Drosophila melanogaster: one gene and its partners. The protein of the gene in region 1 interacts with the protein of each later gene in a pairwise test. Each region holds a gene or a part of one and is shown in the gene's direction. Other genes may lie near its edges.

The links.
Region 2: the proteins of CG9368 (region 1) and Pka-R2 interact in a two-hybrid assay, tested with the Drosophila melanogaster proteins (one large-scale study listed by BioGRID).
Region 3: the proteins of CG9368 (region 1) and p120ctn interact in a two-hybrid assay, tested with the Drosophila melanogaster proteins (one large-scale study listed by BioGRID).
Region 4: the proteins of CG9368 (region 1) and garz interact in a two-hybrid assay, tested with the Drosophila melanogaster proteins (one large-scale study listed by BioGRID).

What each region holds. Positions count from the first base shown.
Region 1 is NT_037436.4:19,599,961-19,608,142, forward strand, and holds CG9368 (uncharacterized protein), read left to right. Parts: upstream 1-1,672; 5' UTR 1,673-1,812; coding exon 1,813-2,016; intron 2,017-2,081; coding exon 2,082-2,100; coding exon of another isoform or gene 2,101-2,141; exon of another isoform or gene 2,142-2,695; coding exon 2,696-3,021; 3' UTR 3,022-4,160; downstream 4,161-8,182. Other genes in the region: Taf6 (TBP-associated factor 6), read left to right, coding at 1-84, 147-316, 374-829, 950-1,259; lush, read right to left, coding at 4,715-4,803, 4,864-5,014, 5,070-5,291; CG9372 (uncharacterized protein), read left to right, coding at 6,621-6,708, 6,873-7,021, 7,081-7,217, 7,286-7,865, 8,043-8,182.
Region 2 is NT_033778.4:10,020,799-10,029,010, reverse strand, and holds the start of Pka-R2 (protein kinase, cAMP-dependent, regulatory subunit type 2), read left to right. Parts: upstream 1-2,968; 5' UTR 2,969-3,182; intron 3,183-4,651; exon of another isoform or gene 4,652-4,808; 5' UTR 4,809-4,960; intron 4,961-8,212. Other genes in the region: CG12128 (uncharacterized protein), read right to left, coding at 567-1,303, 1,368-2,088. UniProt on the Drosophila melanogaster protein: Regulatory subunit of the cAMP-dependent protein kinases involved in cAMP signaling in cells. Mediates membrane association by binding to anchoring proteins, such as Akap200. Might play an essential role in the regulation of neuronal activity in the brain.
Region 3 is NT_033778.4:4,591,531-4,599,736, forward strand, and holds the start of p120ctn (p120 catenin), read left to right. Parts: upstream 1-3,757; 5' UTR 3,758-3,897; coding exon 3,898-3,932; intron 3,933-7,738; coding exon 7,739-8,206.
Region 4 is NT_033778.4:12,323,009-12,331,304, forward strand, and holds the start of garz (gartenzwerg), read left to right. Parts: upstream 1-3,351; 5' UTR 3,352-3,665; coding exon 3,666-3,767; intron 3,768-3,830; coding exon 3,831-4,029; intron 4,030-4,084; coding exon 4,085-5,070; intron 5,071-5,131; coding exon 5,132-6,112; intron 6,113-6,182; coding exon 6,183-6,391; intron 6,392-6,455; coding exon 6,456-6,682; intron 6,683-6,741; coding exon 6,742-7,972; intron 7,973-8,029; coding exon 8,030-8,296. Other genes in the region: CG8841 (uncharacterized protein), read right to left, coding at 309-1,579, 1,650-2,892.

The sequences.
Region 1 (8,182 bases):
CAGAACAACTTGGCGTTGCTTATTTACCTCATGCGCATGGTTCGTGCGCTTCTGGATAATCCTTCGCTGTTTCTGGAGAAATACGTAAGAAATTTCTTATTGTATTGTTCTTTGTTTCTCATAAAAACGATGTTGTCTCCGCATAGCTCCACGAACTGATACCCTCGGTGATGACGTGCATTGTGTCCAAACAGCTGTGTATGCGCCCCGAGCTGGACAATCACTGGGCCCTGCGAGACTTTGCCTCCCGACTGATGGCTCAAATCTGCAAGAACTTCAATACCCTAACCAACAATCTGCAAACCCGTGTCACCCGGTAAATCACATCCACTTAAATTAAATAACCTTTTAACATCCATTTCCCAACCTTCAGCATCTTCAGCAAGGCCCTGCAGAACGACAAGACCCACCTGTCCTCGCTTTACGGCTCTATTGCGGGTCTCTCGGAGCTGGGGGGCGAAGTCATAAAGGTTTTCATCATACCCCGCCTTAAGTTCATATCGGAGCGCATTGAACCTCACCTGCTCGGCACCTCCATCAGCAACACTGACAAGACAGCAGCAGGTCACATCCGCGCCATGCTTCAGAAGTGCTGTCCCCCGATTCTCAGGCAAATGCGCTCAGCGCCAGATACAGCGGAGGACTACAAGAACGACTTTGGCTTCCTGGGGCCGTCGCTGTGCCAGGCAGTAGTCAAAGTTCGAAATGCGCCCGCCTCAAGCATTGTAACCCTGTCATCCAACACTATCAACACGGCACCCATCACGAGTGCAGCACAAACAGCAACAACCATCGGACGAGTGTCCATGCCCACCACACAGAGACAGGGGTAAATAACACTTTTAAGCATAAAATAAAATTCCAGCCAAGCATTTGATTCCTAATGGAAACCATGTTGACATGTCTTTTTATGCCCATTACTAAGCGGTTAAATATTCTTTTGTTTTAGAAGTCCCGGAGTCTCGTCCCTGCCGCAAATAAGAGCCATTCAGGCCAACCAGCCGGCGCAAAAGTTTGTGATAGTCACCCAGAACTCGCCGCAGCAGGGCCAGGCGAAGGTGGTGCGGCGTGGCAGCTCTCCGCACAGCGTGGTCCTCTCCGCGGCCTCCAACGCTGCCAGTGCCTCCAATTCGAACTCAAGCTCGAGCGGCAGTCTACTAGCGGCTGCACAGCGGAGCAGCGATAATGTGTGTGTTATTGCCGGTAGCGAAGCGCCAGCAGTTGATGGTATAACAGTTCAATCTTTCAGAGCATCCTAGACGCCAACTCGCTGATCATTGAGACGGAGATTGTGCGCGCACCGCCCGAGCTGGACGATCTCTCGCACCTGGAGTAGCCAGCTTAGTTCGTAGTCCACATTTTGTCATATTGTATGCAATAAAATAAAAAATGCGGGTTCCTACCCCAAAAAAATGTAACCACACAAATAGGAAGAATATTAAATCATTATTTTCACACGTTTTGTGTAAAATGGATTTAGTTCTTCTTAGCAAGCAAAAAAAAAAACATTATTTAAGGATTTCCCATAGAAATATTAAGCTACAGTTCTGTAAATAACGAACTGTTGAAATCAACTGACTGCTCTCCCACCCCACAAATCGAAAGCTTGCCCACGCAGTCAGCACGCATGTGCGGGTATGGGCCCCCAAGTGGCTTGCTATTGATTTCTCCAGCGCATTGCTGGGTGAACGCACAAAGAGCTCTGCTCAGCACTCCTTGTAGATACCCATCGCAGGACAAAGGCAAAGCTCGAAACGCTTCTGGCAGCATTTTCAAAGGATAAAAAGGAATTCTCACAAAAACCCAGGAAAGATGCATGCCAGATTTGCGGATCCCGAGCCAGCGTCTCCGGACAGCGTTGATGGAATCGAAACGGAGTCACTGGAGGCGCGGATTGAGGCCTTCAAGCAAAATCCCCAGAACATGGCCGCGTTGCGGGAGGCGCTCGACGATGTGCTCCTGCGGGCTGAGACGGAGGCGAACAGGCGGGCAGTTGAGAGCCAGAAATCGCAACAGGTTGACCACACATATCTAATATTCGTTTTCGAGCTAACTGAACTAACTTGTAACTTCCCTTGCAGGGCAAGGAAAAACGACCGAGTAAGTATACGCAGTGTGGTTCAGTACATTTCACTTCTTAGCTATTTGGATAGTGTATTGCTTTTCCCTTTCGAGCACTTCAGCGCAAACCCTTGCCAAGTGCTGGCCGCTGAATAGACACTTGTGCACAAATCCTTTTCTTAGTCTTGCTTAAGTATTTTTGTATCGATGACTTTCGTGGCAATGAACTCGCTTGACACCTAAGAGTGCCTAGGCTAAAAGTTGGTGGATGAGGTCTAAATCTCAAATATTGCAAATATTTAGGAAAGTATAATCTTCGTGCTGAAATTAAGAGAACTGTCGCGTAATGTTGTAACTTGTTTGATAAAAGTGGGCTGACCTAACTAACTGATGACAGGGCGACCGTTGTGGGCCTCCTCCACGGTTGTTAACAGATGGCAATTAAAACTGAGGAAAGCATATAATTTAGAATATATAAACGCATTCGCACGCCATTTTCACCCATTTTCCAAAAAACCCAGCCAGCTCGATTGCATGACCATATTTTGTTGCACTTAACTTGTATTTTGCGTATCACTGATCTTTATTTCCGTATTTTTGTACTCTCTGCGCCTCGCATGCACTAACCTCTCAGGTTTCGCCATACCAGATTTTAAGAACGGCAAGGTGGTGAATCGCGCTCGAGGATTCGTGGTGCGGATCTTCGATGCCATATGCAATTGCGCCAACAACAATGCGGCGGCGGCCACGACGCGTTTCAAGCTGAGAAGCAACAGCGGCGGAGGGGGAGGCGGCGGAGGTGGTGGTGGCGGAGCCAGCGGAAATGGCAAGCGTCAGCAGTCGCAGAATGAGCCGGAAACCCTAGTCCTGACCAAGAAGAAGCCCGCCGGCGAAGGCAAGAAAAAGAAGGGAGTCAGCATGGCCGATGACGTTCAAGCCGGCGTTCGACTGATGGACTAAGCTAGCTATAATGGACAATGGTTGTCCATGCAATGGGAAAACATAATCAAAATTACCACCAACCCCTTCCTGAACAATGAACTCTTACTCAGCAATCGTCTACTGTCATCTTACCACCTTAATGGATCCTGTCCAGAAGCATTTTCTTCGCTCAAACGTCTTAGGCACAAACCAAATTCTACGTCTTCCCCTTGAAGACCACCAAGTTTATGGTGTAAGCCCTGCAAAGGAATCTTAAAATCGCATAGAACAGGGCTGATGGAAAAGCTTTAGCTCTCTACTATATTGTTTGATATACCCAAATGTGATCCCAGATCGTAATGTTAACGAAAACTCAACTCGAAGCACAAGCAACTCTTCTAGGCTAGTTATGAAAGGAGAAAACCCCTATATACGACATTTGTATACACTCTCCAGCTCTCAGACATTATTTGGTCCCCACGCACAACACAATCAACGGCATTACACAATCCCAGTGGAATCGACGAGGGTTTGCCCCGAATCTCCACCTAATTATAACTACGATATATCAAATTATATACCTAACTATATGTGTATGTGTATGACTATAGTTGTCTACGGAACCACCAACCTATTTAGATGTGTGTGTGTAGCAGTTAAAAGTATTTCCAAACCAAACCAAAGCAGCTAACAACAAACGGTTCAATATACAAGCATTAATGTGTACTGATTTTATATACAATGTACTAACTACTATATATACGTGTGAATGTCATTAGACTCTTAGTTGTTTACACAGGTTTCCTCGAACATCCTCATCAAATTCATCAACTAATCCGCACACACGCTCTAATCGGATATATTTTTGTGAGACCCTTTTTGGAGAGATCTACATACATATATAAAGACACTACTCCTATACCGAAACCGAAATTTAAGATATCGATTACTCTCGATTACAGAGAACTTTGTACGCAGATTTGCAAGGCAACCATTTTGTATAAGATTTGCATTTATTTTGTAACCTCTTGAATGCAAAGATCTCCCTAAGTTTGAATGCATTGCTAAGCCAATTGGATGTTTATCGATTACAAAATGTATAAGTATGCGTTATGCAAACATAAAACCGTTGTATTTAGTTAATAATATCAGCAATAAACTATAACATGTTTGAAATCAATGCGGCGTGTTTATATTTTGGGGTGCCATTTTAATCTACAAAAAGGTTTTCAAATATATGATTAAAGATTGTTTTCAAAAAAAAAGATTTGCTTATCGAATTCAGTCGATTGCGGGTATATACATAATCGAAAAATTAATTTAAACAAAATGTTCTTTGTTACTTTGACAATATATAATTTCAGTTTTGATTCAATCAGAATTGGACGACTTTGTCATATAGGCATACGAATAGTCGGAAAATAGAGTTTCGAATGAAATAATATAACACAAACTACAGTTTCGTCGTTTTTAATCATAAATTGATGTTATTCTGTATACATAAGTTGTCTTTAATATATAAATTTTGGTTTCAATTTAATCAACATCATATTACTGCAAGGGTATATAAGTATATACTTCGGCTTTTTGAAGCTAACTTCCTTTCTTGTCATAATTTATGTTTTACGAATTCCAATTCTATTTGATGATTTCAACATAGATAATAAAGCAATCATCCAAGGATTGGTCATTAAAGGATGAACCAGTATGAATTTAGTTTCCAGAAACATTTTTAAGGCCACATGAACTGCCCATCGGCGTTTTCAGAGAAGCACTTGGCCGTCTGGTAGACCCTCTCGCAAGATTCCTTAAATTGTTTATCTGCAAAGATATACCTTACATATATTTACAGCTATGAAAGGTAAGTGTGGGTGTAGTTACGCGTATCCCGACAAGCTTCAACGGATTTCCTGGACATCTCCATCATTTCCGGGGGAACCAGATGCGGAAGTTGGGCCAGCGCCTTGGGAGCGTTGAACTCCCCCTTTTTGTTCACAGTGCCCGCCATCAAAGACACACACTTTGTGTAGCACTAAAAGGATAAAGGATTCAAACACTGGTGCCTGCAAAATGAAAGCGGCATTCACCATAAGATCCTGCGATGGCGGAAAGTTGAAATCACCCACGCGAAGCCGATCGAGATCTTCTGTTTTGAGCTTAAACTTCGGCGCACAGCCACTGCGGATCATGTCTAGCGAGGTCAAGAACTGCTCCATCGTCATGGCAACTGCAGGATCGGGTAGCAGGAGTACCAGCACTTGCAGGACGATCGCGAAAACAGCGGAAGAGCGTCGTTTCCAATGCTTCATGGTGGCGGAAAGCTAAATACGTTGAGTAACCATGTCGTAGGAGAGTTTTATAGGTGATCATGGTGGCAGGGAAAGGTGGTAATTAAATCGCAGGGATTAATAATTAAGTAACACACTCGCACGCCATTTGAGTTGACTAGGAAGTTGTATTTGTACCATTTGAATGACACGACAATAGTCGAATTTTAGAGATACCTGTTAAAAAATAATAAATAATAATTTTTAAACCAATTTTCAGGATAAAGTGGGTAAGCGATGAGTTTATAGCACCGCATATATGTATATTCATATGTATATGTGATCATATAATATTCCCAGAAATTCAAATCCAGTGCTCTACCTATAAAAATTGTTAAATAATAAAAATATGGTCTTCGCAATAATATTAAAATAATATATTTTAAATATTTTTTAAGGATATTTTGACTAATTATTTGTTTGACGCTTTCTATTTTAAACTTATTTTTTAGTACACTTATTCGGTATTCGTCTTATTACATAATAACATAATCTGCCAACTGAAGTCGCCCCATTCCATTTTCTTCGCCTCCATCATTCAATACTATTACTTAAATTATGTTAAAATGTTAAAGGGTTGGGTTTTAAATTAAGACATTAAAATCATTTCTGCAGTGACAATCAAACCGTGCATCGCAAATGTTTTCTTCGATTCCGGTTGTGCCGTGCAATTGATTTATTATTACTACTTTGATGTGCAAGCGTCAAAAGGCAATTAAATAGAGAATATAACTGAGTATAAAATCTTCCTTAGTATTTCGGAGATGATACTTCTATGGAATCAAAACCCACCGAACCGGATCATTTGCGATGCACATCACGTTCGCCTCGGAGAATCCAAACTGATCATCATGGGCACTACTCGCCCCTGGCAACATGTTGCCAAGCTGTTGCCAGCAACATTGAGATAATACACCAAATTGGGTCTAAGCTCAGAGGCATTAAAGGGGACGTCATTTCAGTGGCTCGCTTTCCGCCCTACAGATAAGCCAAGTGCTCGGATTAACTCAAGTATTATATAATAGTTACTATATCGCTAGCGGTTCCAATCCCATTAAGCTTTCGCCTGGGAACTGAGCATGGAGTAAGACGCTTTAATAGCCAGGAAAACCCCATAGTGTCGACGCATCGAACAGGTTCAACAGCAGTATCCAAGGCAAGACGTATGTAAATTGAGCCGATCTGAGCTCAGCTCCATATCGGAGAAGTAGCTTTAGCTGGTTGGAGAACTGTCAAAACAGAACTGATTCAGCGGGCAACGGAAGCGACACGCGATTAAAATTCCCACTGCACTCGCGAAAATAACTCAAAATGAAGGCATTTCTTTGGGCATTGGTGATTTTACTGGGCTATATCCCGCAGAGTACAATCGCCAAGACTGTATCCACTGATTTTTTAGGTGAGTCACGTTTTTATACCAACATAAAAAATTGTGCAGGTGCATTTAATAGCAAAGTTATTTATCAAAGTTAAAACTCATTTCACCCAAATACTTGATATTTCTAAGACAAATTCCAAGAATCTAATGTAAACCAAACCTAAAGATTTTCGTCTACCACCCAGATCTTCTCGACTTCAGCGATAATGATGAGTTTCAATGGGGGGAGTCGGAGAATCAGGTATACGAAAATCGCACTGGGGAAAACCGCGTCGTAAGTTTCCTGTCCCAACATCGCCTAAACAAGCGACAGGCTCCCACCTCGCAATTGCTGGTGAGTTTATGTCTTATGCATACATACCAGTATCAGGTAACTACAAATGATAACCGCAGGAGAACAAGGATTATGGAGCATGTAGCACTCCATTGGGTGAATCCGGCCGATGTCGCCACATTATCTACTGTCGCATGCCAGAACTTAAGAATGATGTCTGGCGTCTGGTCTCCCAGCTTTGCATCATTGAGAAAAGGTATATGAATTTTTCTTCTTAATGGCTTGGCATCCTTGTATTATATGTACAAATAATTTGTCTTTCAGCTCCATAGGCATTTGCTGCACTGACCAGTCGACGAGCAACCGATTTAGTCCGCAAGTCGTGACCAGTGCGGACGGTGATGAGCCGCGCATCGTTAATAAGCCGGAGCAGCGAGGTTGTGGGATCACGTCCAGGCAGTTTCCCCGCCTCACCGGTGGACGGCCAGCCGAGCCAGACGAGTGGCCTTGGATGGCGGCCCTGCTGCAGGAGGGTCTGCCCTTCGTTTGGTGCGGTGGTGTCCTGATCACCGACCGTCATGTCCTAACTGCCGCTCACTGCATCTACAAGAAGAACAAGGAGGACATCTTCGTGCGTCTGGGCGAGTACAACACGCATATGCTGAATGAGACGAGGGCGAGGGATTTCCGGATTGCCAACATGGTGCTCCATATCGATTATAATCCACAGAACTACGACAATGATATTGCAATTGTCAGAATCGACAGGGCGACTATATTCAACACCTACATCTGGCCAGTTTGCATGCCGCCCGTGAACGAAGATTGGTCGGATAGAAACGCCATTGTCACCGGTTGGGGCACCCAAAAGTTTGGCGGTCCTCATTCTAACATCCTCATGGAGGTGGGTCGCATATTAAAGTATATTTCATTTTATATACAGCGTTTTTATTTTGTTCTTAAGCTTTCAATTTCTTATATTGATCTAAACAAATTGGTTTCAGCAATTTAGTAACTCAAGCTGAACATAACAAAGAAAGCTTTTTTAAATTAAGAAAATATGTATTACTCCTATCTTCAGGTTAACCTGCCGGTTTGGAAGCAGTCCGATTGCAGGTCGTCATTTGTACAGCACGTTCCGGACACTGCCATGTGCGCTGGATTTCCGGAAGGAGGTCAGGACTCCTGTCAAGGCGATAGCGGAGGTCCTCTGTTGGTACA
Region 2 (8,212 bases), on another chromosome or scaffold:
CGGAATCTTTGCTAGGATATCACAGCGATACGCGCATCGAGTTGGAGGAGGACTTTCTGCCAGAGCCGCGATTTCAAGACTCGATTCCATAGCTAATCATGACCAGCGACAATGTAGCTACATATTACATTTAGAGATTCAGTTGTGAAGCCTCCTTACGACATACATATACTTTCAGTGTGTAAATAACAGAGGTACAGACAGTCCATCCTATAGGGACAACTAGGTTATTATGTTTAAGTTACGAATGAGTCGATAGACAATTGTAATGTATATGTATGTAAGTGATAATGCGAAAAATGTTAGGAGATCAAAATCTTAATTCTTGCTTGGACATTCGAGTTTGAAATTTAAAATCGTATTAATTTAGTGTGTAAGGATAAAGTTATTAGAACATTTCGAACAAAAGTATATGTCTATATAGGAATATAGCTCGTTATAGCTCGCGTCAACAAAAAACAAAATAGTATACACGCTTAGTGGAATAACAAGAAAATCAAAAGCGAAACTTTAAGCAACACATACGGATCTGTATATTTACAAAAATAAAATTCCAACTATTCCCATTAATCGAACCGACTTAAGTCGTCATCTGCACACGAGTGGCTTGTTCCAGAAACGGTGGTGGATGAAACCACTTCAAAATCGTCTTGTGCTGGGGTGTTTTTCGCTAATTCCTCGGAGGAATCGGCAAAAGGATTGGCCGTCAGTCGAGCCACTTTCGGCAATGGTTTTGAAAATGAAGGTTCATCAACGACTGTTTCATCAGGAGTATCCTCTACTTGCTTCCTTTTCTTTTGCTTTTTGCTAACTAAAACATCTCGCCGTACTGCAATGCCTGAATCCTCACTTTTAGGTAGCAGATCAGTCAAATCGATCTCCACATCAGCCACTTGCGGTTGCAGTTTCTCCTGGAGAGCCGCTAAAGCAATCAACAGCGCTTCCTCGGTGCGAATGGTTCGAGATCCTTGGCGTGGTAAAACATTTACATAGTGGTCGAACAGCAGCTCAGGATCATCTACGGTCAGTTTCTCGTCGTTGGCCAAGGCAGATTCCAAGCCTTGCAGTCCGCCAAATACAATGAGCATGTGATTAAAGTTATATGATCGGTTGGGCACCTCATGTACGTTGGTTCCGCGATCCGAGGTACCCACCGTAACATCGTAGCCGGTTGCGTAGGGTGATTTGGTAAAAATCTCAGACATGGAGTGTGCGATGCGCACCTGGTAGCCCCAATAAACACCTGTTTCCCGACGTGGTTCATCCGGGCTAACTAGTGTTCCCCGCTGCTTTCTACAGCTCTCTGTTAGGACGAATAGTTCATTAGTTCGGCACTGGGAGCACAAATGTTCGATTTAAATGCCTACCACTTTGAGGTTCCATTTTTACAGTTACTCTGACGCCTGGTTCTATTGCCTTGTCAACCAAAACGTCGTTAAGCAGCCCCACGTTGGCGTAGCTGTGTCCCTCCTTGGCCTTCTTGTCGCAAATGACGCCCTCACGATACCTGAATTTGCTCTGTTGACGGAGATGGTGCGGTGTGTCCAATGGATTCAGCAAGCCAGAGTACTTAAGGTCTTTGTGCAGCGGGAAGAAGTATTTTCGGAGATACTGCGGGCATTCCAGATACTGCAATATGCGTGCCAGTTGTAATGAGCTGCTGCGCACAGTGCCAGTGCTGCTGCCTTCCCCATCTGCCTCGTAACTACGCTTTGTTTCCCGGGCGGTGGCTATACCCACGTCGTCGAAGACGATTACCTCGTTCACCCGAAAGATGCAGGCGGCCCGGGCTATTTGACCGGCCACGTAGGCCCGCAGCTCGTTGGATTGGGCATTCTCGAGAATTGAACCGGGAACAGCTATGCTCAGCGTGGACGGATTAGGCTTATCCTTAGCCTGCACCTCATTGGCTGCCTTTCCCGCCTGTGATTCTGCCTCTTTGGCTTGCTGCAGCTCCTTGAGCAGCTTGTCCTGCTTGCGCTGCCGCTTCAACGCTTTCCGCTCCTCGTTCACCTTCTTCCAGGACTTGTGGGGCCCAATAGGCCTCCCATTGCTGCTGGCTGTGGGGGCGGCGAGCATCGTTTTCATCAACAATTCGTTTACTCGATTGAAACTGTTGCAAACAAAATACGCACGTGCAACCTCGGTGGACAGTATGTGGTCTGAACATAATACCAGTGTTGGTATCTATCGGTTAATGGTATTAATCGGTCAGGTTCATAATAATGCACAGATTTTTCATTCCACCTGGTAACATATGTAGTTCTCTCAAGAAGTGAAATGAAAACATTTATTGCGATTTGAATTTAAAGCGCTTGATTCAATAAACATGGACAATGGGAAGGAACAGTCCAGTCCGGAAACGCACAGTACGCACCCGCTATTCAAAGCGAAATCCGGGAAAACCGAGATCCCAACCATTGATGAAGCTGTGGACTATCTACAAATCCGAGCTATAGAGCTATCGAGTTTGACATCTCCGCCGTTAGACTATACAATGATGCGATCATCATAACGCCCTTACGGATGATCAGTGGACAGTCGGATCGACCTGCATCTTGTTTTTAAAATATTGCATCTTAAACGTTTGTTTAGACCTCGCTTCAGTTCCCACTGTTTGTTATGACCACCAAAGGAATTATAATAATAAAAAATGATTTTTATATTATTAGTCCTTCAAAATGGACTATACGTCCATTTAATGCTGCATTTAATACGTCATTGTGTTATCATTTTAGGGGTTTCTTTCATTTAAGTAGTCAATTTTTCTTACATATATTTTTATTTAATTTTCTAAATATCTGAAGACAACCGTTGAAAAACTTACGTTACAATTGCCCCGCTTTGGTATGTTCTTCAGTATTTTTACACCCACACGCAAGAGAGCTGGCCGCGAGAGAGAGAGAGCTTCCGCTGAGAGCGAGCTTTTGCGGGAGCACCAAGTCTATTTAAGCAACCCGCAATTCAAAACTTTTTGTAATTTTTGCCTGACACGGAATCGGAATACAGAGGCTTCTGCTTGCGATATATTTCACCGTTCGCACTTGTTTACGTTTGCCATTAAAATTTTTCAAAAAATCTAACGAGTAACAGCGGTTGAATCGCCGGTGGCAAAAATATAGAACCGTGTGCCGTTGTGCGTTGGTGGATCGCTGGAAAATGTGCGTTTAAAAGTCGAAAAAGTAATTGCACCGAAGAGAAAAGCCCGAAAAACAAAAAAGCGTGCTCGCAAATTAACTCCAGCTTCGCGCCGCCCCCCGCCCCCCGCCCCTACACCTGTGCACTTATCACCTCTCGCTCTCTCTTCAATTGTGCAAGTGTATGTAAAAATGTGAGAGCAGAGAGCAAAAAAAACCACACTACGTGCGCGTAATAAAAAACGAAGTGGGCTGTAGGCGGGAGGCGGTGTAGGTGGCCTGCCTCCCAATCCCTCCCCCGAAAATACAAAATACATACATACAGAAATCTACCTATCCGCTGCTTTTGTTGTTGTGTTGTTGTTACTTGAAGGTTTTTTTCGGTGGGGGACAATCAATAAACACGAGAGCTGCGTGTGAAAAAGAGACAGCGAGTGCGGAGTGCAGGTGGAGAAAGGGGATCTCAAATTGGAGCGCGAAGAGATTGAGAGAGAGTGGGGAGCGAGAGAGGGGCTTGCGCATATGATTCAAATGCCGGTTTTGAGCGCTCTATTTTTCGAGTCTTAAACAAGTGCAGTGATCAATTAACTAAATACTTGCCCTAATCAGTAGTTTTTTTTTTGCCAGATATCATATCTTGTTTGGATTTAACAATAGTTAAAGAATAGTTCAAAAAAGTGCAAGTGCAAGTGCAACTGCTACCTGCGTTATCGACGCCTATCGATATTCGGAAATTGGGTCACGGGCGCCAGCTTTTCAGGATGCCAATCAGAATTAGCCCCTACATTATTACAAACCCAAAAAAGTCAAGCAAAATAAAGTCAATTTACGTAGGAGTTGCAAGAAAGTAGAGAATAAACAACAATACAAATGCCTAATTATACACAAAAACCAACATGTTTATTTAGGCCAACTTGAACAAATTATTTCGCAAAAAAAAAAACAAAAGTTCCTCCATCGTTTAGCAGGTTTTGATCAAATTTGAGCAATAAGCAAAATAATCACGTCAATTTTGTTCGCTAATTTGTGTTTCCTATTAGGTTTTGCAAAGTGACAACCAGAATTCACTTCATATTTTATTTATAACCGAACAAATGAATTGTGCTGGCTCGCTGTAGCAATTCAAAAATAAACAACAATTGCAGTTAAGCACACAAGAAAACAAAAATGTCTGTTCAAGCGAAAAACAATTTCGGGCACCCAATTAATTAAGCAGTTACATTGGCGAACAACAAAAATGTTTTTCTTCAAAGCTTAAACGAAATTTTTGCAAAACCTGGTTAAATATTGGTTTACGTGACTTTTGGCATGTTATTATTTCATGCCTTTTGGGAATTAAATATTAGGCATAAAACAAATAAAGTGAAACCAGACCAAAACTAATTACATACATGTACAAAAATTCACCGTATTGAAAATTGATAAGATTGAAAATTAGTTTAATGGCTGGAGCTCGTCTAATTGATGTTTCAAAAGTGTACCTCACGACAACTAAAAAATCGCTCAAATCTCAGTAAATACGAATCCAGCAATCAAAATCTATTAACCGAAATACTTTCAAAACATCAAACAACAGCGAAAGCGGCAATAAACACCAACATCAACGATCCAAAAATAAATGTAGAAAAACAAGGAAAGTCCATGAGAGTAACAAATTAAATTTGGTTTTAGCCAAAACAACAAAAGCAAGCTAAGGAACAAGGCAAAAAAAGTCAGCGAAGAAAGAGACGGAGGAGCAGGTGAAACAGGTGGACGCAGGAGACCCACCCACCCGAAAGAAACTATCACCACCAGCAGGTGACAGCAAAGCAGCAGAAAGTCAGGTGAGTATCGCGCCGCATTCGCATTGGAATCCATTCCATTCCATTCCATTCCTTTCCATTCCGCTGCCATTTGTGTTTGCTCCCCGTGCGATTAAATATTTCACGCGCTTATCAATTGCTCAAGGGTTGGCATTGCTTGATAAACAAACAACTAAACAACTAAAGAGCAAACAGAAATTAAAAAGCCAGCAAAAGTCGCCTGCTTGGGCAGGTGGGTCGCCAGGTGAGGTTATACTACAGCTAGTGTGGCGGGGATCGAAGTGCTCAGAAAGCCACTGAGATATTCTGGAATGAGCCCCACCATATATGTACCCATACCTCTACTCGAATATTGTTGAAATGAGTACGCGGGCCATAAATCAGTGAATACCCCCGGATAACTTTTATAGAATTCGCTTCTATAAGTTTGAAAATTAAAGAAAAGCATTCAAGTACAACTAGTATGACTAGTTGGCACACTTCACTTCATAATTTAGGAAAATTATGAGTTTTGCTGCTCAGTCAGGCACCCGTTGTTTCTACAAATGTATATATACTTCACCTTTATAAAGCAATAATTACTTTCATAAAAACTTAATAAAAGGGTTGGACAAGCTTTATAAAAACAAAAATAAACATATAAATGGTACTGTAAAAAGTACTAGGCGTGGACTAAATCGTAAAATCATTTTGCTCAAATAACTTAAAATTCTTTGTCTAGATTTAAATGTAACCCAGATTTCTTTGAAAATAACAACAGGAACTATTAAACAACTGGAAGGTGCCTTTCTATGCAGTGCCATCTATTTTTAAGACTTTTAAACTGCTTGAATTCAAAATTCCCCAGTTACACCCTTTTTTATGTAATCCGACTACATTTCCCGTTCTTAATATCCTCTTTTCCCCTGTTGCAAAACGGAATCCAGATAATAAATTCTCGAGCTCCTTCTCGATGAGCTGTATTTGCAATTAATTCCTCCATTTTGTAAACTTGGCATCTTCGCCAAACGGACAAAGGAGAATAAGAGCCCAGCAACACAGTTGGCCAACAACCAACAGGCGAGAGACAAACATCCATCAGCAGCTCAAAGAAGCTGGGTTCGGAAAATCGAATTTTTAAAATTTGAAAGCTAAAATCGTTTGCCCGTTTTTGCCCACCAATTAGTTTTTTTTGCCTACGTTTTGAAATATTATATTTTGAAATATAAATTTTCGAAAATTTTTGGAAATCAAAAAATTGACTTTTTAACGTTTGCACACCATTTAAAATTTGTTTTTTTTTTTCGTTTGCCCAATAAATAATTTCGTTTGCCTATCCTTTAAAATTAGTTTTTTTTTTTGCCCACTCTTATAAAACAAAAATGTCGAATTTTTTGGAACTTCTTTGAAATTTCATATCTCAAAAACTGGACGTGGCAAAAAAACCAATTGGTGGGGTTTTCCAGCTTTCGAATTTCAAAAATGTGATTTTTCCAAACCCAGCTTCTTTGAGCTTCCATCAGCGGCAAAGCACACAATTTCCAAGCCAAATTCAATTTCGAGTTAAGAGGGCGAGATTGTGGCCCGAATCTGTGCGCACCACATATACACACACAGATACATACACACATAAAGAAAGCCGTGGCAGGACGACTTCAATGCGTATTCGATTCAATGGCCCGGGGCCACCACCCTTGAATGGCCCTTATTCCGCCACCATGGCCTCGGGCCCACTAGCACCCACTCCCACTCCCACTCACTCCCTTTACTTTCCTTTGCCTTCCTTTCTGCTCATTGTCGTAGGACGGCGGGAGATTCCTGTCATGTCCTCACGTTTCCTGGACCCATGGAGCTTATACTTCAGCTGGGCTTAGTTTCAGCTGGGATTCCTCGTTTATTGATTGATTCGATTCCCCGCATTCGTGTCCAGTCATAATGGATACCCCTGCACGGGCTGGAATAGAAAGTCATCAATAATATTTGCTCAACACGGGGAAATGTTCTAAAAATACAACTAAAAACTAAATTCTAGTGGAGCCAGCCCTCCCCCCCAACGAAAAGGAACTAATGAAAAAGTTGCCAGTCGGATTAAAGGCATTTTTATTGACAGCAGTCCTTTGGCTTCCATTTATGTTTCATATTTTTTAGGCGGCCTGTAACTGGAATTGACAAGGGTGAATACAGCGGCACGTGAAAAACTCATCACAAAAACGAAAGGACAATGAAGGCAAGAAGCTCTCTTTATTGTCCTCGTTTTTTGTTTTTATTCCCGGCGATATATGTACATCTTTCATTCCATTCTCTTTTATGCCAAACAATTGGCTGGGAAAATTGTTTTTCAATTCTGATTCGCAATTAATTTCGCAATCCAGAAATAGAACGCATCGCATAAACAAAGGCAACGCGGCGTATGCGCAATATTTGCTGAATATTCAATTTCCACCTGGTGGTCGAAAAACATGGAAATCAGCTTTGGTGCGCCGTCAAACTTAAGTTGATATTATTAATTAGTCGCAAAAGTTTTTTGTATTCTGATTTGCGGTGATAATGCCTCAAAACTTTGACGGATATTAATAAATTATGTGTAAATATGAAAAGTGAGTCACACACTCTTGGAAAAAATTATTGCGCATAATTTGCGTCTTCTTCAAAAAGTGGCCAAGAAAATTTCTTGGTGCTGCCTGAATAAATAATCATAATTCAAGCAAAAAAAAAACGAAATAAAAAGAAATATTCACACAGCGAAAATTTAATTGTTTGGCCAAAAGGAAAAAAGAAACGAACGGAACGAAACGGTACGGACCGAAAACGGCCAATAAAAGCCACGACCTTCGGACAACAAAAAGCGAACAGAAATTGAATCAAACCGCCCAACACTGCCCTCTTTCTTTATGTGCGTATATATAGAGTGTGCTAAGGGGATCCAGATTGCTATTCAGATTCGGGAGGCTTTTCAATAATTCCCTTTTTTATGTCCAACAAGCAATTTTGCTCCACCAATTAGGGCACGAAAATCGATACGAGACAGCCGCAGAAACTAGGCACATTATCAAGTGGTAATTAGGTTCTTTTTTTTATTTCAAAGTAATGGTTTTTTAATGATATTTAAAATAGATATTAGGTACTTCGCCTTTGAATACGCTGATTCGTGGCAAAGGATGCCGTGTCCATGTCATTCTTTAATAAATATCTGAATTATGTTCTTATTTCTTGTCCTTTATATTCCAAGTTAGCAAGCTAAAACTCCAAACGTATTTGTTTGTCAACTTCTGGCACTTTTGTGTGCCAAATGGG
Region 3 (8,206 bases), on another chromosome or scaffold:
ATATACATAGAGACTTACAAATAAAACTTGTCATTGAGACAATAGCAGAGAAGAAAGTAAAATACAATGAAAAACTAGCCTCACATCCAAATCCTCTTGCAAGAAAACTTATTCGAGTATGCACTGGAACGACCAACCAGCCCAGCGTTAAATTTGTTATGCCACACAGCTCGAATCATTTCATAAAATGATATTTCGTTAGTTTAGAATATGACTTGAAAACTTATTGTTAGTCTTTTAAGTAAAAGGGAAGATTCAATAAATAGGCCAAGCATGAATAATACCCTAGCTTTTTCGAGTTGTACGAACTTGTATTTAAGTCAAACGTGTTTATGTACTGTGTAGTGTTGTGTCGTTCGTGAACGAAAGAACTAAATTGAACTATTAACCAAACTGAACGAACGAACTAGGTCTGTCTTTATAGTTCAATCAAAGACACTAGAAAAACAAGATGCGTAACGGCCATACAATGGTTTGGCACTATGCAGCCAATTTTTTAGTAACGGCCAAAATTGCTCTCTTTCCGCTCGCTCCCGCTAAGAGCATAAGAAATCTAAAAATATAATTTGCTTGCTTGTAAAGCTTGTAAAAACAAGAGACGAGAACGCGTATATGTTTGCGTGTTGTGCTAGAAGACGATTTTTGGGCCGAAATCAATTCTGATCGAAGAAACGAATTTACATTGTACATATTAGGATAGTTTTTTTGCCAATTTCGTAGCAATATGATATAATAAAATAATTTTTAAAAATTCGCGCCCTGACTATTATAATTTTAAAGCTTTTTAAATTTGTTTGTTAAAATCGTTATAAAAACATTTATATTTATGTTTAATTCTAATTTGTCTCTCATCTGACAATTTTTTAAAAGCGAAATATTTTTTTTGAAACATCATATTAAGTCAATTGACTTAATAAATATACTAAATAATTAAATATGATTACTGTTTATTGCAAAGGTCATATCAAAGACACTAGAATTATTCTTGTGTGTTTGCTTTGTTCATATCTTGAGGCACGAAGTGCGGACACAAGCACTCAACAATCATTGCCTTATTAATTTTTCACACGCCGCAAGTTGAATACTCTAATGACAAATATTCTTATATAAAGTCATTTTTAAAATTTATTTTTGTGATAATATGTACATAGTTTTGGCTATTTCTAATCTATTTTCAAATAATAATAACGTTAAGGCAATGCAAAACAAGAATTTTTCGCATGGTGCCAATTGATCAAAAATAATATAGATTTAAAGTCAAAGAACTTCTAAGGTGAAGGGCATATTTTGTCAAATTTACAATGCACGAGCATACGTGTGCACACATACAGTTGTCTGCTATCCCTGTATGCGCTCTCTCGCTCTCGAACAAAAATTCGAGAGAGCCTGGAGCCACCTCTAGAGCCACGGCGAAAAAATCGTGTCTTTGCTTTTACTTAAGAGACTAACAATAAGTTTGCAAATCGTATTCTAAACTACCTAAATATCATTTTATGAAATGATTCGTGCTGTGTGGCCTAATCAGTTATATAGTAGAATTTTTCCACTTTAAAATAACTGTTCCGCGACCATCCGCTTCAATGTAATTGTTTCCAGCCAAGAGAATGCGCTCTTTATATTCTCTTAAATTTTTAAATAATGATCTCTTCGTGCACAAATGAGCAGTAGCACCCGAGCCCAAACACCACATATTTTTCGGCGAATTGTCTAGCTGAGCGACAGAGCAGAATGCCGAATATGATTTCGGATTTGCTTTCTAACTCTCTTGCGATTTTATTCTTCGCTTTGCACTTCGCAGCTTTGTGACCACTACCTCCACAATTCCAGTATGTAACTATTCTTTTACTATTACTATTACTATTTTACCGTTTTTTACTTGCTTGTGTTCTTTTTGTCCGTTTCTTTTATTATCGATCTTCTCATTCTCGTTCGCGGACCGAATTCCAATAACCGTTTGCTCACATTTTTCTACTTGATCTGTTACTTTTCGCCATTGTCCTTCTTGCAATTTAATTTTTAGAATTCTTAGTAATGGAAACTCATCTCGTGTTTCTGGAGCAATCACGAAGCCTTCAAACGATTGATGCAAACTTGACAATAATAAAACACTTAGGATTTCTTCTTGAACTAGAAAACCCACTTCTTTTAATTTTTGCACAATGTCATAAAATTTGTTCATATGTGCCCCCACTGTGCCCGTTTCACACATTTAAATTTTGTAACACGAAGCAAATACTACGCGCCGGTCCCGTAGGTGTATGTATTTCACGCAATTTTTGACATTCTTCTTTAGCGGTTTCACAATGCTTTATGTGGTTGACTTGCTATGTATACACAATATTATACTGTCAATGGCTTTTTTGTCTTTTTCGTCAAATAAAGCCTTTTTCTCGGGACTATCGTTTTCTTCTTTGACGAGTCGACCCCATGTGACTTTCCATAAGTCCGAATGTACTAACACACTTTTCATCTGCACAGCCTACGCACTGTAACTATCATTATCCTATTTGTCTATGTATTGACGAACTCATTTTGCCAATCACCAATTTCCACGATGACAATATCAAAAAGTGAACATGGATTAGTGTTTAACATTACAAAATTTCAAATCGGCTCGAATTGTAATGGTGTACCGATTCTTACATATGTATAAGTAATTACAAACATAAATATAAATATGTTAATGAAACCTTATTTTAGCGGCTAATTTATCAAATATTAAATAAAAATATTAAAATAATTGTCAGGGCATACATTTTTAAATAATATTAGATTAGATCATATAAAAAGAAAATTGGCTCTAAGCATACGAATTCGTTTCTTAGGTATAGATTGATTTCGTCTAAAAATAGCACACAGCATACACACTTTTAGTTATTGTTGTTACTCACACAAGCGGGCGCATACCATTCCTAGATTTGTACGCTCTACAGCCGTCACCAAACAAGTCGCTGGAATATTGCATAACCAATGTAAGGCCGTTACGCATCTTGTTATTCTAATGTTTTTGACACAACTAAATAAATTACATATAATTATAAATTGTTTAAATAAATATTTTTCTTTGTTATACAAATACTCCTTAGGGTTAACAGGACTAAGGTTTTTGGAAATCAGATGAAAAGAAATTTAATTATTATACATAATATACATAAAATTAGGTAAAGTAATAAGTATTAGTATTATTTTATAACAAAACAGATCTTTTACTAAGGGAATAACATAGTTAACTTAGTGGTCTATTGATGTTTATTCCACATCAGCACAAGATCATTCTGCTACTGAGTTATTTTATAAAAAATAAATAAATAATTTTTATATAAAATATTAATTAATTTAAAAGACGACCAAAAGTGTTATTCGTAAATAGTGGTATTTCAGTTAGTTACTTAATTGGATAAAGTGCTGTGAAAAGTAATTGCGTAAATCAGAATTAAAACTCTACTTGTCTGGAAAACAGCTTAAACGTCTATTTACTGTTGAATGCATTTCTGCTTCTCCTGGCTTCAAAACAAGCAATTGCAAATATAAAAGGCCTTTTTCACGTTATTTGCTTTAGACAAACAAAATAAGTCAGCAGAAAGAAACAAAACATTCCCAATAGCAATCATTTTGCGAAAACCAGAGCACCCAAAACGAAATCGAAAGATTTTGCCAAAATCGAAATCGAAAACAAATTACGATTACCCGAGCATAACCGATTGTAATTAGGATATTTTTTCACATAAAGTATTCGATTGCGCTTACATTATCGAACCACTTAATAATGAACTAGTTCTTTTGTCACAAGCATTACAGAATTTCCTTTTTTGTGTATGATGTTGTACTAAATGCTTTAATATCTGGAAAATCGGATTTCAATTTTTTGTGAATATGTAGTTTTACATATGGACATCTATGGAAGCGCGATCTCTCAAACACAGCCTAATCGGGTATGTGGTATTAATTTAAACATACATATGTTGGAATTCGCATATAAAAAGGGCAAAGAGAGTGTTAATTAAATTACACGAATTCTTGTTTTCATCAAATCAAATTAAATAAGGAATGAAATTAAATCAAATTAAATCAAATGAAAAAAAATTAATTTAATTTTTTTAGTGATAGTTTGTGTAACATAATAAAACAAGAAAAATCGATAATTTAATTCGAGCTAATCAATCACTGTATGAAAAAAAGGAAGGAACTTATGTGTGTATACATGACATATAAAATGATACGCATGCAAAAATGCTTTAACAATAATATTTTCATTGTTATCAGGGCTTCTCAATGTACAAATTTATATACCTGTCTCCTATGAGTACATAGCTGTAAGGGAGTGGCTAGGTATTAAAGTGGCTTACAGTTTCGCTCATAATTCAGAAAGAATTACAATAATTTTCCCATGATTTATTTGAAAAAATATCACAATATAATTTTTTGTCTATCCATCCATGCCTTCCGTTTAAAGAATATTTAATAAAATTGTGTATATTATAAACACATATATTATTATGTATATTATGTATACATACTATTATTTTACCATCACTTTTACCATCCAATGAAAATTTGAGTTTTTATTAAAGCCCCCTCCCCTTGTTTGTCGTAAAGGATTCCTTGTTCGGGGGAAATTTGTATGCTATCCGCGATGGTTTGAGGCAGAAGACAAATTTGTCAGAGAACAAGTGATTCGTTCTCAATCATCCCATTTTCTCCTGAACTATTTTATGCGCTATTGTTGTACAACTATGATAGGACAACTACAGCAATTATTCCCAATGCTAATGACATTACATTACATTATATATTATATTTTATATTATAATATATTCATTTCATTCATATTCATATCATTTCATATTTTATATTCTTCATATCCGTTTAGCGGTTTTTTGACTCATTTCACAAACGAAACATCAACTATAGTTCATCACTATTTATTACCAAAAATTTTAAAAATATGTAACCTGTTTATTGCAAAATTGATTTTTTGAGGCACGACGTGCGGAAATAGGCACCTAAGAATCATTGTCTTCTAAAACTTTTCACAAGTCGCAAGCTGAATACTCTAATAACAATTAATCCAACAGTCATTTTACCCTTTACTCGTAGAGTAAAAGGGTATACTAGATTCGTTGAAAGGTATGTATGTAACAGGCAGAAGGAATCGTTTCCGACTATATAAAGTATATATATTCTTGATCAAGATCTGTCCGTATGAACGTCGAGATCTCAGGAACTATAAAAGCTAGAAGGTTGAGATTCAGCATACAGATTCTAGAGACACAGACGCAGCCCAAGTTTGTTGACCCACGCCCACTCTAACGCCCACAAACAGCACAAAACTGTAAAATGTGAAAAAGGTGCAAAATGACGCCGAAGAGAATATAGCTGACGAATACAGGGTAGTGCGTCACTTAGCGTTCCGCTAATCTACATAAGTGCGCTAAACGAAAAGAGCCAAGCAACATCGAAAGCACCGGCGCACAAGCGAAAGCGAAAACGAAAAGTTCACCGCTGCTGGTATATAAGGCTGTAAGCATTAGTGCATTAGCTTCGATTAACCTCCGAGTCGATCTAGCCATGTCCGTCTGTCCGTATGAACGTCGAGATCTCAGGAATTATTAAAGCTAATGGAAGTAAAGGTTGAAATTTAGAATACAGATTCTTGAGACAACCGCCAACACACCGCACAAAACTAAAAAGCCCACACTTTGGAAAATTTTCTTCATATTTTTTAACATTTCTATTAGTCTTGTAAATTTCTATCGATTTGCAAAAAAAAAAATTTTGCCACGCCCACGCTAACGACCTTAAACTCCCAAACTGCCACGCCAACATTTTTGAACCATTTTCGATTTTTTTATAGTTTTATTAGTCTTGTAAATTTCTATCTACTTGCCAAAAACTTTTCGCCAAGCCCACTCTAGCGCCCTAACCGGTCACGCCCACACTTTGGAACAATTTTTAAATTTTTTTCTCATTTTGTTCCCCAATATCTATCGATATTCCAGAAAAATTATGAAATTTCGCGTTCGCATTCACACTAGCTAAGTAACGAGTATCTGATAGTCGGGTAACTCGACTATAGTATTCTCTATTTTTTAAATTTATTATGTATTATTCTATTCTAAGCTATACTTGAATAATTGTCAGTTCAGGCAATGCAAAACTTGAGTTTTAAAAAGTATAGGAACTTGTAAAGTGAAGGGCATATTTAGTGAAATTTACAATGCATGAGGATACGTGTGCATACATATATCTTAGGAGCTTCATTTTCGTGTCCTGCCAATACAAGGCATCGTTAATTAAATCAATTCTGGTGCGACTGCGCTAATTACATATGGATCGTTCGTTAAAGTTCCTCATTGGGTAAGTTGGAAGAAGGTTAGAATTACCCGGATTGTGAAGTGCCTTCCTTAAATAATTATTTATAATACTATGATACGAATTTAAAATCGGATGGCAATAACTTATGTTTATTTTTGGACTTAGAAATTAGTAAGACCAAAATAAAATAAAGAAATCCAATCAAGTTTTCAAAGTAAGGGTTTTACGAATAATCTTGCACAGGGAAGTCTTCGCCAGAATCTGCATGCTTAGTATCAACTATCTAGCTTTAATAGTTCCCGAGATCTCAGACGTCATACCAAAGACATTAGAATAAAAAGATAAGTAATGGCCATACATTTATCAAAATCAATTTTGATGTAAGAATCGAAGGTACATTTTTAGAGTTTGTCAATTTCGTTGCAAAATTATCTACTAAAAAATTATATATAAAATTTAATTTCCTTTTAACTAATTTATTATCGTTTCATATTTTTATTCATGCTTCTAATTAATAATCGGGCATGCTCCGTTAATCGAATTCGTAAGGATTTTACAATTTCCATTTGAAATAGAAAAATCGATGCTTCGTTTTTCAAAATCGTAAAATTTTTTCGATTCGTAAAACGGACACTTTTGGTCTGGCCGAAATAATGACCTTTTTATATTAAATCAGATCTTATTTACAAAGGTGAAAAAATTATTTACAAATTATTTAAAGCATACATTTTCCAAATAAATAAAACACTTTTAAAAAATTTTTTTCAAACTGATTATATAAGCATACATTGTTTAAAATAAATATATATATATTTCTTATATATATATATATAAAATAAATATAAAAATACAACCAGTTTTTTTTTTAATTGACTTCTTGACTTTTTTTGACTTTTTGACATAAGCACCTTAAAATAGTTGTCTTTCTCTCATTTTTCACACGAGGCCAACTTAATACTCGAATTTCAATTAATCCAATACAAAGTCATTTATGAAATTTATTATGTGATATTATGCTCATAGATTCTGCTATTACAATTTCTATTCGAATTATCATGCTAAGGCAGTGCAAACCAAGAATTTTTTACATGGTGTCAATTGATCAAAAATAATATAAATGTAAAGCCTAAGAACCAGTAAAGTGAAGCATATTTTGTCAATGTGGTCGGCTGTCCGTGTATGCGTATAAGGGAGCTGCTGACTGTAGACCTGTCCGCTCTTTGGTTTTGGTTCTTGAACAAAAATTTGAGAGAGCCGGGAGCCAGATCTGGAGACAGCTCAATAAATTATTGCTATTCATATTGTAAGTACTGGTACCCTTTTTGTTTTGAACTCCGAACCAATCGAAATTACATCTAGATTAAACTAATAGTCGTTAATTATGCCGTGTTCGTATATTAAAGAAATTTAACTCCCTTTTCAGTTTAAATATGAATTCAACTCACATAAACATGGACCTTTCATTGACGCACGAGCCTGCAAACATGCAATCCCAATTTGGGTCTTTTCAAAATTATGATCAATTTTCGGCAGCAGGATATTCAAGCACTCCATTATATATAACAAAGCCCACAGGAGTAGGTGCAATAACAAAAGTTGCGCCACACTGCTCTCAAAATAAGATTGAGACGAACTCTACAGACAATTCCATTCCAGACATTGAGAATCATCCACTAGCTACAACAGTGAGATATGTACAAGCGGGTCAATATGAGGATACATCCGAATATGGTGTAGCTGGTTTGACTTGTGGAATAGACTCTGAGTACACAGCTGAAGCTGTCGTACCTTACTGCTATACGTCGGATGCAAACTATACAGGAATTCAAAACACGACTTCAAGTATTAAACCATTTTCTGGAAGGCCTTTTAATGATAACATAAATGGAGC
Region 4 (8,296 bases), on another chromosome or scaffold:
TAAAAACACTTTGTGCTTATACTGTTTTTTAGAACACTCTTCAAAACAAATTAGGAAAGCAATTAAATATCAATGCTAAAAGCCGATAACAAATCTGTTGAATGGATCTCAATGCCACATCGTAACTGATAAGCCTCATTTTTTTTGTTGCCAATAAGCAAAATTGTGGGAAAGGTAGTTCATTACACACTGATTCTTCACAAAAACATTTGGAATGAAATATGTACTAAATAAATTAACTACAGTAAATGCCAAAGCGTGTAAGCTACGATTGCGCTGCTGGTGTAGCTGGGAGTCCACTTACTGACCTAGACGCGCTGAATCTCGAAGAGCTTGACCTCCGTATCGTACCAGATGGCAGGCTCCACGTTGCGCAGGTAGATGACACCCCAGATGTAGGTGCGGAACCATGCCGTTGTGCCCGCATTGGCCTGGTACTTTCGGATGAGAATGGGATGCGGCACTGGGAGCAGTCCCACTAACGTTCCGTGTTGCAGAAACTTGAGGATCTCCGACTCGTCGGTCAGTCCTTTGTCAATGCAGATCTTCTCCACCTGGGGCACTAGGACCTGAAGCAGTCGCATGATGGTCTGCAGCGGCAGCTTGGAGCGCCAGGAGACGATCCACTCGGGCGTGGGCGTCCAACGATCGCTCTCGCCAGGCACCATGCGAATGCTGGCCCTGTGGGCCACCGACAAGCGGGACAATTCCGTGGGTGAGGTGGACTTGCGTTCGTCAGTTGGCGTCGAAGCGGCTGATCTGTCGTAGGGCACAATGTCTGTAGAATCCTCCACCTGAGGCTTGTCATTTGGATGCGCCTGCTCCCGCTCCGTCATCTGAGTAATGCCCGGGGTGTCCAACAAGGACGTTTTCAGTGTTCCTGGCTCGGCTGGCTGCGCCGTGAGAACGTCCGACTGCAGCTCCCCCGCCTGAGATCGCTCATGAGACTCTGTCTCCGATTCGAGATCCTCTTCCGCCTTGGGCTCTTCATTAATTATCTCCTCCTCGTCCTCATCCTCGTCTTCTTCGTTGTACTCTTCTGGCACGTGGGCCGAGGGCAGTTCCTGGGACACAGCTGGCGTTCTTCGCTGTGGTACCCGCGGCAAGTTAAACTTTCCACCTGTTTTACGGCCACTCAGGCACTTGGCTATGCCAGCCATATCGGTCGGGAGATTTGCCATGGCATGGAACACATGACGCTTTCGAATTATGGTGTAGACTAGATTCGAGTTGCCATCGAACTGATACTGTATAATGTTATTGAAGATCTCCAGCAGGAAAAACACCAAATGATGATTGCTGGGTGCCGATAGCAGAAACCAGGGTGTGCTAAAAGCCTCCAGGAGATGCAACATCTTTACACTAGCCACCATCGAGAGGGTTTTCAGATATGGTGAGACATTTACCAGAATGGTCAGCAGACAATCGAAAAGCGGCTGCAGCCTCTGGTGGCCAGTGGCTATTATTTTGTGGAACACAGTGATGAGTAAGTCCGCATGGGTTCCAGTAAACACAGGTATATCCATGGGCACCGTGGCGGAGTATGCTTTGTTAAGCCGAACCCCAAAGTTTCGCTCACCTATCAATAAACATTTATTTAAGTGTAAGTGCACTGATTCCACGAACAAAACATATGACATATGACTCACCCGATAGGAGCAACAGTATGAATACTCCAATATGCATCAAGCCCACTCGAGATTGATCCGCTCGGGAGTAGTTTAGGTGATACAGAATGGGAATCAGGATGTCCAGAACATCGGAGCTCTTTAGCACAAAATACAGAAACTTTTTGTTGTAGTCGCATATTTTCCAAAACAAAATAAGCAGCTCCTGGTGGCAATGAAGTCGCTTTGTGGAATTGGGCAAATAGTTCTGGACCAGTGGGTTGTTCAGCAGCCTGGTTATGCCCTTGAGCACAAAGTGAAAGTCCTCGTCGCGGTGAACCCTCGAAAGATAGTTAATGAACAAGTTGTCGCCGCAATTGCCCTCGTCGTAGGACGCCTGTCCGGGTTGTGTGAGTTGCTGCTGCACCACCATATCGTGATCCAAGGTGACAATGAGCAGTTGAAGGCACGCTTCCACCAGGGGCTCTGTGGTGTCTGCAAACAGCAGGTGATTGTAGGGCACGCCGAAGCCCACCGGATCGTAGGAGCACACGGTGTTCAGAAACGAGGTGAACAGCGGCAGGGCATGGCGATTGTCGGCCGAGGTGAAATATGCTATCCACTTGTTGGGCTCCTCGGACTGCTGCGGCGATCGGTACATGGGCTCCGAGAAGCAGGTGAGTAATAGCTTCAGCAACTCCGTGCGCCTGCGCTCCATGTGGGCGTTGTGGGGCGGTGACTGGGCGAAACCCACGCCCGCTTCCCAAATGTACTCGCAGCTATCGATGTTCGCCAACTCCTCGGCCTTCTCGGGGCCCGCACGCCGCGTGGCCGTAACCGTGAAGTCGGGACAGAAAAGAAGGTCGCAGGTGGCATTGAGCAGTGACTGAGCCAACGGCATGGTCTTGTCCTGCGATGGCAGGCTGCTCCAGAAGAAGTCGCGCCACTTTTCGTCCTCGAAAATGTACGGCAGACACCGGACGAGCAGCCGCACGCAGTTCAAAACGCACTGCTGCTCCGCCTGCGTGCGACAACTGCTGTCTACCGCCTGGGCAAGCTTTTCCACCGCCTTGTAGCATAAGGTGGCCAGGTTGGCTGGATTCTCGTTCCGTATCTGGCGAATCTCGCTCGAGGTGACCAGCGCGAACACATCCTCCAGCGTCGTCTGGTGGCCCTGCCAGAACTGCTCCCAGAACTGCTCGTCGCTGGGGTCGATCTTCTGGTTCTTCTGCGTCAGCTGCACAATCGCCTTGCGAAAGTTCAACTTGGAGTCCGTGTTTCCCATATTGTTCGGCCTGTGGGCTGCTTTGGTATCGCTGAGTCCTGTAAATCCACCTGCCCCGTGCTCGATCGCCTCAGTGCAAGTGTGCGCAGTAGTCTGGAACAGGAATGCTTTGCATTTAATGCGATTCTTTTTCAAAAATCGAACGATTCCAATTAGAAATTCGCCTACGCACCAAATGCCAGTGTAACTTAGTGGTGGGTGTAACGCTCACGACTGAAGATGCGTGCGTGACTGATTATGCTCACCTGTTTTGGCCCTCATATTCAAATATCAATTTGATTAAATCAATTTGATCGACAGCTTGGCAACATATTTTATTTTAAAAACAAGGTTATATTTTTTTTATATACGCTTGCAGCTGTATTTCAATTTAATCTATTGAAATTTCCGCATCGAGTTGGCATCTACAGCTGTGCCAGTGCTGCGAAGCGACGAACTGCCGCGCCGGTGTTGGAAGACGCTTGTGCAAAATATTCGGACTGCACACAAGAACATAAACGACACGTAAACGTCACCAAAAATTAGCAGCTTACCAGTTCGATTAGTTAGGATTAGTGAGAGATGCCCAACTAGGCAGCACGCCCAGATTCGTCCAGGCAGCGTGAGTGTGCGAGTGGGCAAGTGGCGAGTGCCAAAACATATGCGAAGGTCGTCGGGAAGGGAGGAGGAGCTGCCCTGCCCCACGAAAACTGCAATTTTCAGCGCTAGCCCTGGAACTGGAAGCCAACTAGCTGCAGTCGTAGAGACACCGCAACGGAGGACACGCGGACACCATGGCGCTTCCAGGCAACGGCATCTACGTGGTGCGGGGCGAAATGGCCACCCTGATGACGGCGATGCGACGTGGAACGCGTTGGAATGCCACCGCCTACGTGGTAAATAGTGCCCCTAATGCTCACTGCGAATAGAAAGTATATGGCCCTTTTGCACATCCACAGGACGACGAGAATGACTCGCTGCTGAAGCTGTTCATTGACCTCAAGCATGAGCTAAATCGGATCGAGGACCTGCGTCAGATCGAGCCTCAGGTCTTCCTGGCTCCGTTTCTTGAGGTGATTCGCACGGCGGACGCCACGGGTCCGTTGACTAGTCTAGCCTTGGCCTCGGTTAACAAATTATTGTCTTACGGGCTAATAGGTATTATGATTTAGTGCTTACCCTCTGCATTTGCTCATTCTGTACCTATCCACAGATCCCACGTCTCCAAATCTGGCTGACATTGTGGAGCGCATTGCCGATGCTGTGACACATGCCCGCTTTATGGGCACCGATCAGTCCTCGGATGGTGTCACCTTTATGCGAGTGATTGAGGTGCTGCACACGCTTATCCGCAGTCCCGAAGGAGCCGCCGTCAGCAATGTGTCCATGTGCGAGGTGATGCTCAGCTGCTTCAAGATCTCCTTCGAGCCGAGGCTGAGTGAACTGCTTCGTCGCTCGGCGGAAAAATCGCTCAAGGACATGGTGCTGCTCTTCTTCATGCGCCTTCCCCAGTTCGCCGAAGAGCGAAGTGACACCATGCTCCAGAAGCGATTTACTATCGGCGATGCTGCCAGCGGAGCTACCCAAGAAAAACTAAAGCGTAAGACGGTTGCCCAAGCCCAGACAGCACCCAGGAAATCGTCAGCAGTGGAGGAACCGCCTCAAACACCGCAGTCTGCCAACCTGACGGTGCCAGGGCACTTGAAGGCACCCATATTGGCCACCACACCCGCCAGTCCAGCGGGAAACATATTGGACATGCAGGGCAAGATTACGCAGACACCAACAACAACGGCGAGCACGGGGGAAGATGAAACCACTGTCCCGGAGACTCCTGTTATTCAAGTGGAGTCGACTGAATCGGAGCCCTTGCTGGACGGCGAAACGGGTGAAGCAACCAGCACCCTGGCCGAGGCAAATAGTAGCGAGTACATCAACTCGGTGGGCGTCCGTTTTACACAGCAGTCCACCGATCACGATGTAACATCACTATCCCCTTATGGCCTGCCCTTCATCCAGGAGTTGTTCCGATTCCTCATAATCCTCTGCAATCCTCTGGATAAGCAGAACTCGGATAGCATGATGCACACGGGTCTTAGTCTACTTACTGTAGCTTTTGAAGTCGCAGCCGATAATATTGGAAAGTATGAGGGCTTGCTGGAGCTGGTTAAGGACGACTTATGCAGAAACTTAATATCGGTAAGGGACTCTTAATTGCTTCGTTAGTTATTTCTGACCTAACTCTTTCCTTTCCCTACAGCTTCTCAGCTCAGAGCGGCTTAGCATCTTTGCCGCCGATTTGCAGCTCTGTTTTTTGCTTTTCGAGTCTCTCCGCGGACATCTCAAGTTTCAGCTGGAAGCCTACCTTAGAAAATTGAGCGAGATTATTGCTAGCGATAATCCCAAGACGCCCTACGAAATGCGAGAACTCGCTCTGGACAATCTACTGCAGTTGTGGCGCATTCCCGGCTTCGTCACGGAATTGTATATCAACTACGATTGTGACTTGTACTGCACGGATATGTTTGAAAGTTTGACAAACCTACTGAGCAAGTATACGCTGTCAGCAACGAATGCAGTTTATAGCACCCACATTATCTCAATGGACACCCTGTTAAGTGTGATAGACAGTATCGAGCGAAATTGTGCCGCGAGCAAGAATAGCAGCAACAACAGAGAGTCCTTGCCAGAAGCTGCCCCAGCAACAGGTGGCAGCCGCCATTCTCGCCACAACAGCGGATTGGAGGGAATCGTAATTGATTCTGGCAATAGTGTAGCTGCAGAAGAGAAAGTGGAGAACATCGCAAGCTTTATAAATGCGAGCTCACATCGACTACGACTACAATCTGGCGGAGAGGGAGTGGGAATAACCAGTGAACAGCTGGCCAAGGTCAAACAGAAGAAGCGTCTGCTATCCCAAGGCACAGAGCGATTTAATCAGCGTCCAGAGAAAGGAATCCAGTATCTGCAAGAACACGGCATCCTAAATGCCGAGCTTGATCCCATGCAGGTGGCCCTGTTCCTTCGAGAAAATCCCGGGCTCGATAAAAAAATGATTGGCGAATATATCTCGAAAAAGAAAAACGTCGACTCTAAGATTCTAATTAATTTTGTGGACTCGTTTGATTTCACTGGTCTTCGAGTGGATCAAGCATTGCGTCTTTATCTGGAGACCTTCAGATTGCCCGGAGAGGCTCCATTGATCTTTTTGGTGCTGGAACACTTTTCTGATCATTGGCATGTGAGTATACACATCTACTAAAATACTTGCAGTCTCTGATATTAATCATGTATGTATCCCACCAATATAGAAACAAAACCAAGATCCGTTTGCCAACGTAGACGCTGCTTTTCGCTTGGCCTATGCCATCATCATGCTGAACATGGATCAGCACAACTCGAACGCGAAGCGTTTAAATGTTCCAATGACGCTCGAGGACTTCACTAAGAATTTGCGTGGTCTAAACGGTGGCGAAGATTTCGATCAAGAAATGCTGGCTCAAGTCTTTAATGCAATCAAGTAAGCTTTAGTACATATAGCGTCACTCTCATTTGCTTATATTTCCGATTATTAATTATTTAAGGAACGAAGAGATCGTTATGCCAGCAGAGCAAACGGGTCTGGTGCGTGAAAATTATCAATGGAAAGTACTGCTTCGACGAGGAGACACGCACGATGGACATTTTCACTATGTGCATGACGCATCATACGACGTGGAGATCTTCAATATTGTGTGGGGTGCTTCTCTGAGCGCCCTAAGCTTTATGTTTGATAAAAGCACTGAAACGGGCTACCAAAGAACTCTAGCAGGTACGTACATAAACATCTAATAATTACCATTCACATCTCACATTACGATTACATTTCAGGTTTCAGCAAATCCGCTGCCATATCGGCGCACTATAATCTGCATTCGGACTTCGATGCCCTCGTTTTAACTCTCTGCAAATTCACAACGCTGCTGAGCAGCGTAGAACAGCATGAGCCCGCTCCGGCGAACAATGAAACCCAGCAAGCTGTGAACTTTGGATTGAACGGAAAGGCTCAGGCTGCCATGCGAACGGTGTTTCTATTGGTTCACGACTACGGCGATTGCTTAAGAGAGAGCTGGAAACACATTTTGGACCTATATCTGCAGCTTTTCCGTCTAAAGTTGCTGCCAAAATCATTGATCGAAGTGGAAGACTTTTGTGAGGCGAACGGAAAGGCCATGTTAATCCTGGAAAAGCCCCGCGAGAAGCAGGAATCGGGACTATTTTCCAGCCTGTACTCATTTATCAGCTCGGAGGGTCAGCGAGAACCAACGTACGAGGAGCAGGACTTCATCAAACTGGGACGGAAGTGCATTAAGGAGTGCCAGCTGGATCAAATGCTGCAGGAATCAAAGTTTGTGCAACTAGAGTCGCTGCAGGAGTTGCTTAAATGCGTTCTAGCGCTACTGAAGGCTCCTCAGGGGCACAAATCCATTGGCCTGCCGTACGCCGAAGATCAAACTGTTTTCTGGATGGAATTTTTGGTCAAGATAGTTGTTCATAACCGGGATCGCATGATACCGCTGTGGCCAGCAGTTCGAGACCAAATGTACCTACTGCTTATGGGCAGTGCCTCCTGTGGATACGACTACCTACTCAACCGATGCATTGTAGCGGTCCTAAAACTAGCTATCTATCTGATGCGAAACGAAGAACTGTGTCCGATCGTATTGCAATCGCTCAAGATGCTTTTAATGCTTAAGCCAGCCTTGTTGCTGCGCATTTCTAAACAGATTTCCATTGGTATCTATGAGCTGCTCAAGACGTCGGCCCAAAATATTCATTCCGAGCAGGACTGGCAGATTATTTTCAATCTACTTGAATGCGTGGGAGCCGGTGCTGTGCCGCCCAATTATGATGATGCCCAGCTGCCATTGCCGCCCAACGGAAGTGCAAAGTCTGATGGCGCTATAAGTGGCGAAGAGGACGCAACTGCCGTGCCAGAGCGTGGTTACACTTCGGATTCGGAGATCACGAAAGCATCTGCAGCACCTGCAGTCTCCAGTCCAAGTGCTGAGAACTGGATTCTGGTCAATAACAAGGACAGTGAATTGACTACGGCCTCTAGGTGAGATTCTTCACTCATTAACCTTTCATATCTAATACAACAAAGTTGCTTTTGCAGACCACAATCTCCGCCTAGCCTGAGTGCTCCTCCAGTAAATACGCTTGTGTACAATTGCCAGCTACTAGACCACGCTCCGTTTGCTCTTTTCAAGTGCTGGGATTCGCTGGCGTTTATCGTGCGCAGTGTGGCACACATCACGCCTTACAATTTTGAAGCCTGCGTTCGCTGCATCCGCATCTTTGTGGAGGCTTGTCGGGATGGAGGTATACGCCAGCGGCGAAAGCTGGAATCGGCGGCTAAGCAGAAAAGTTCCAAGAAGCGCAG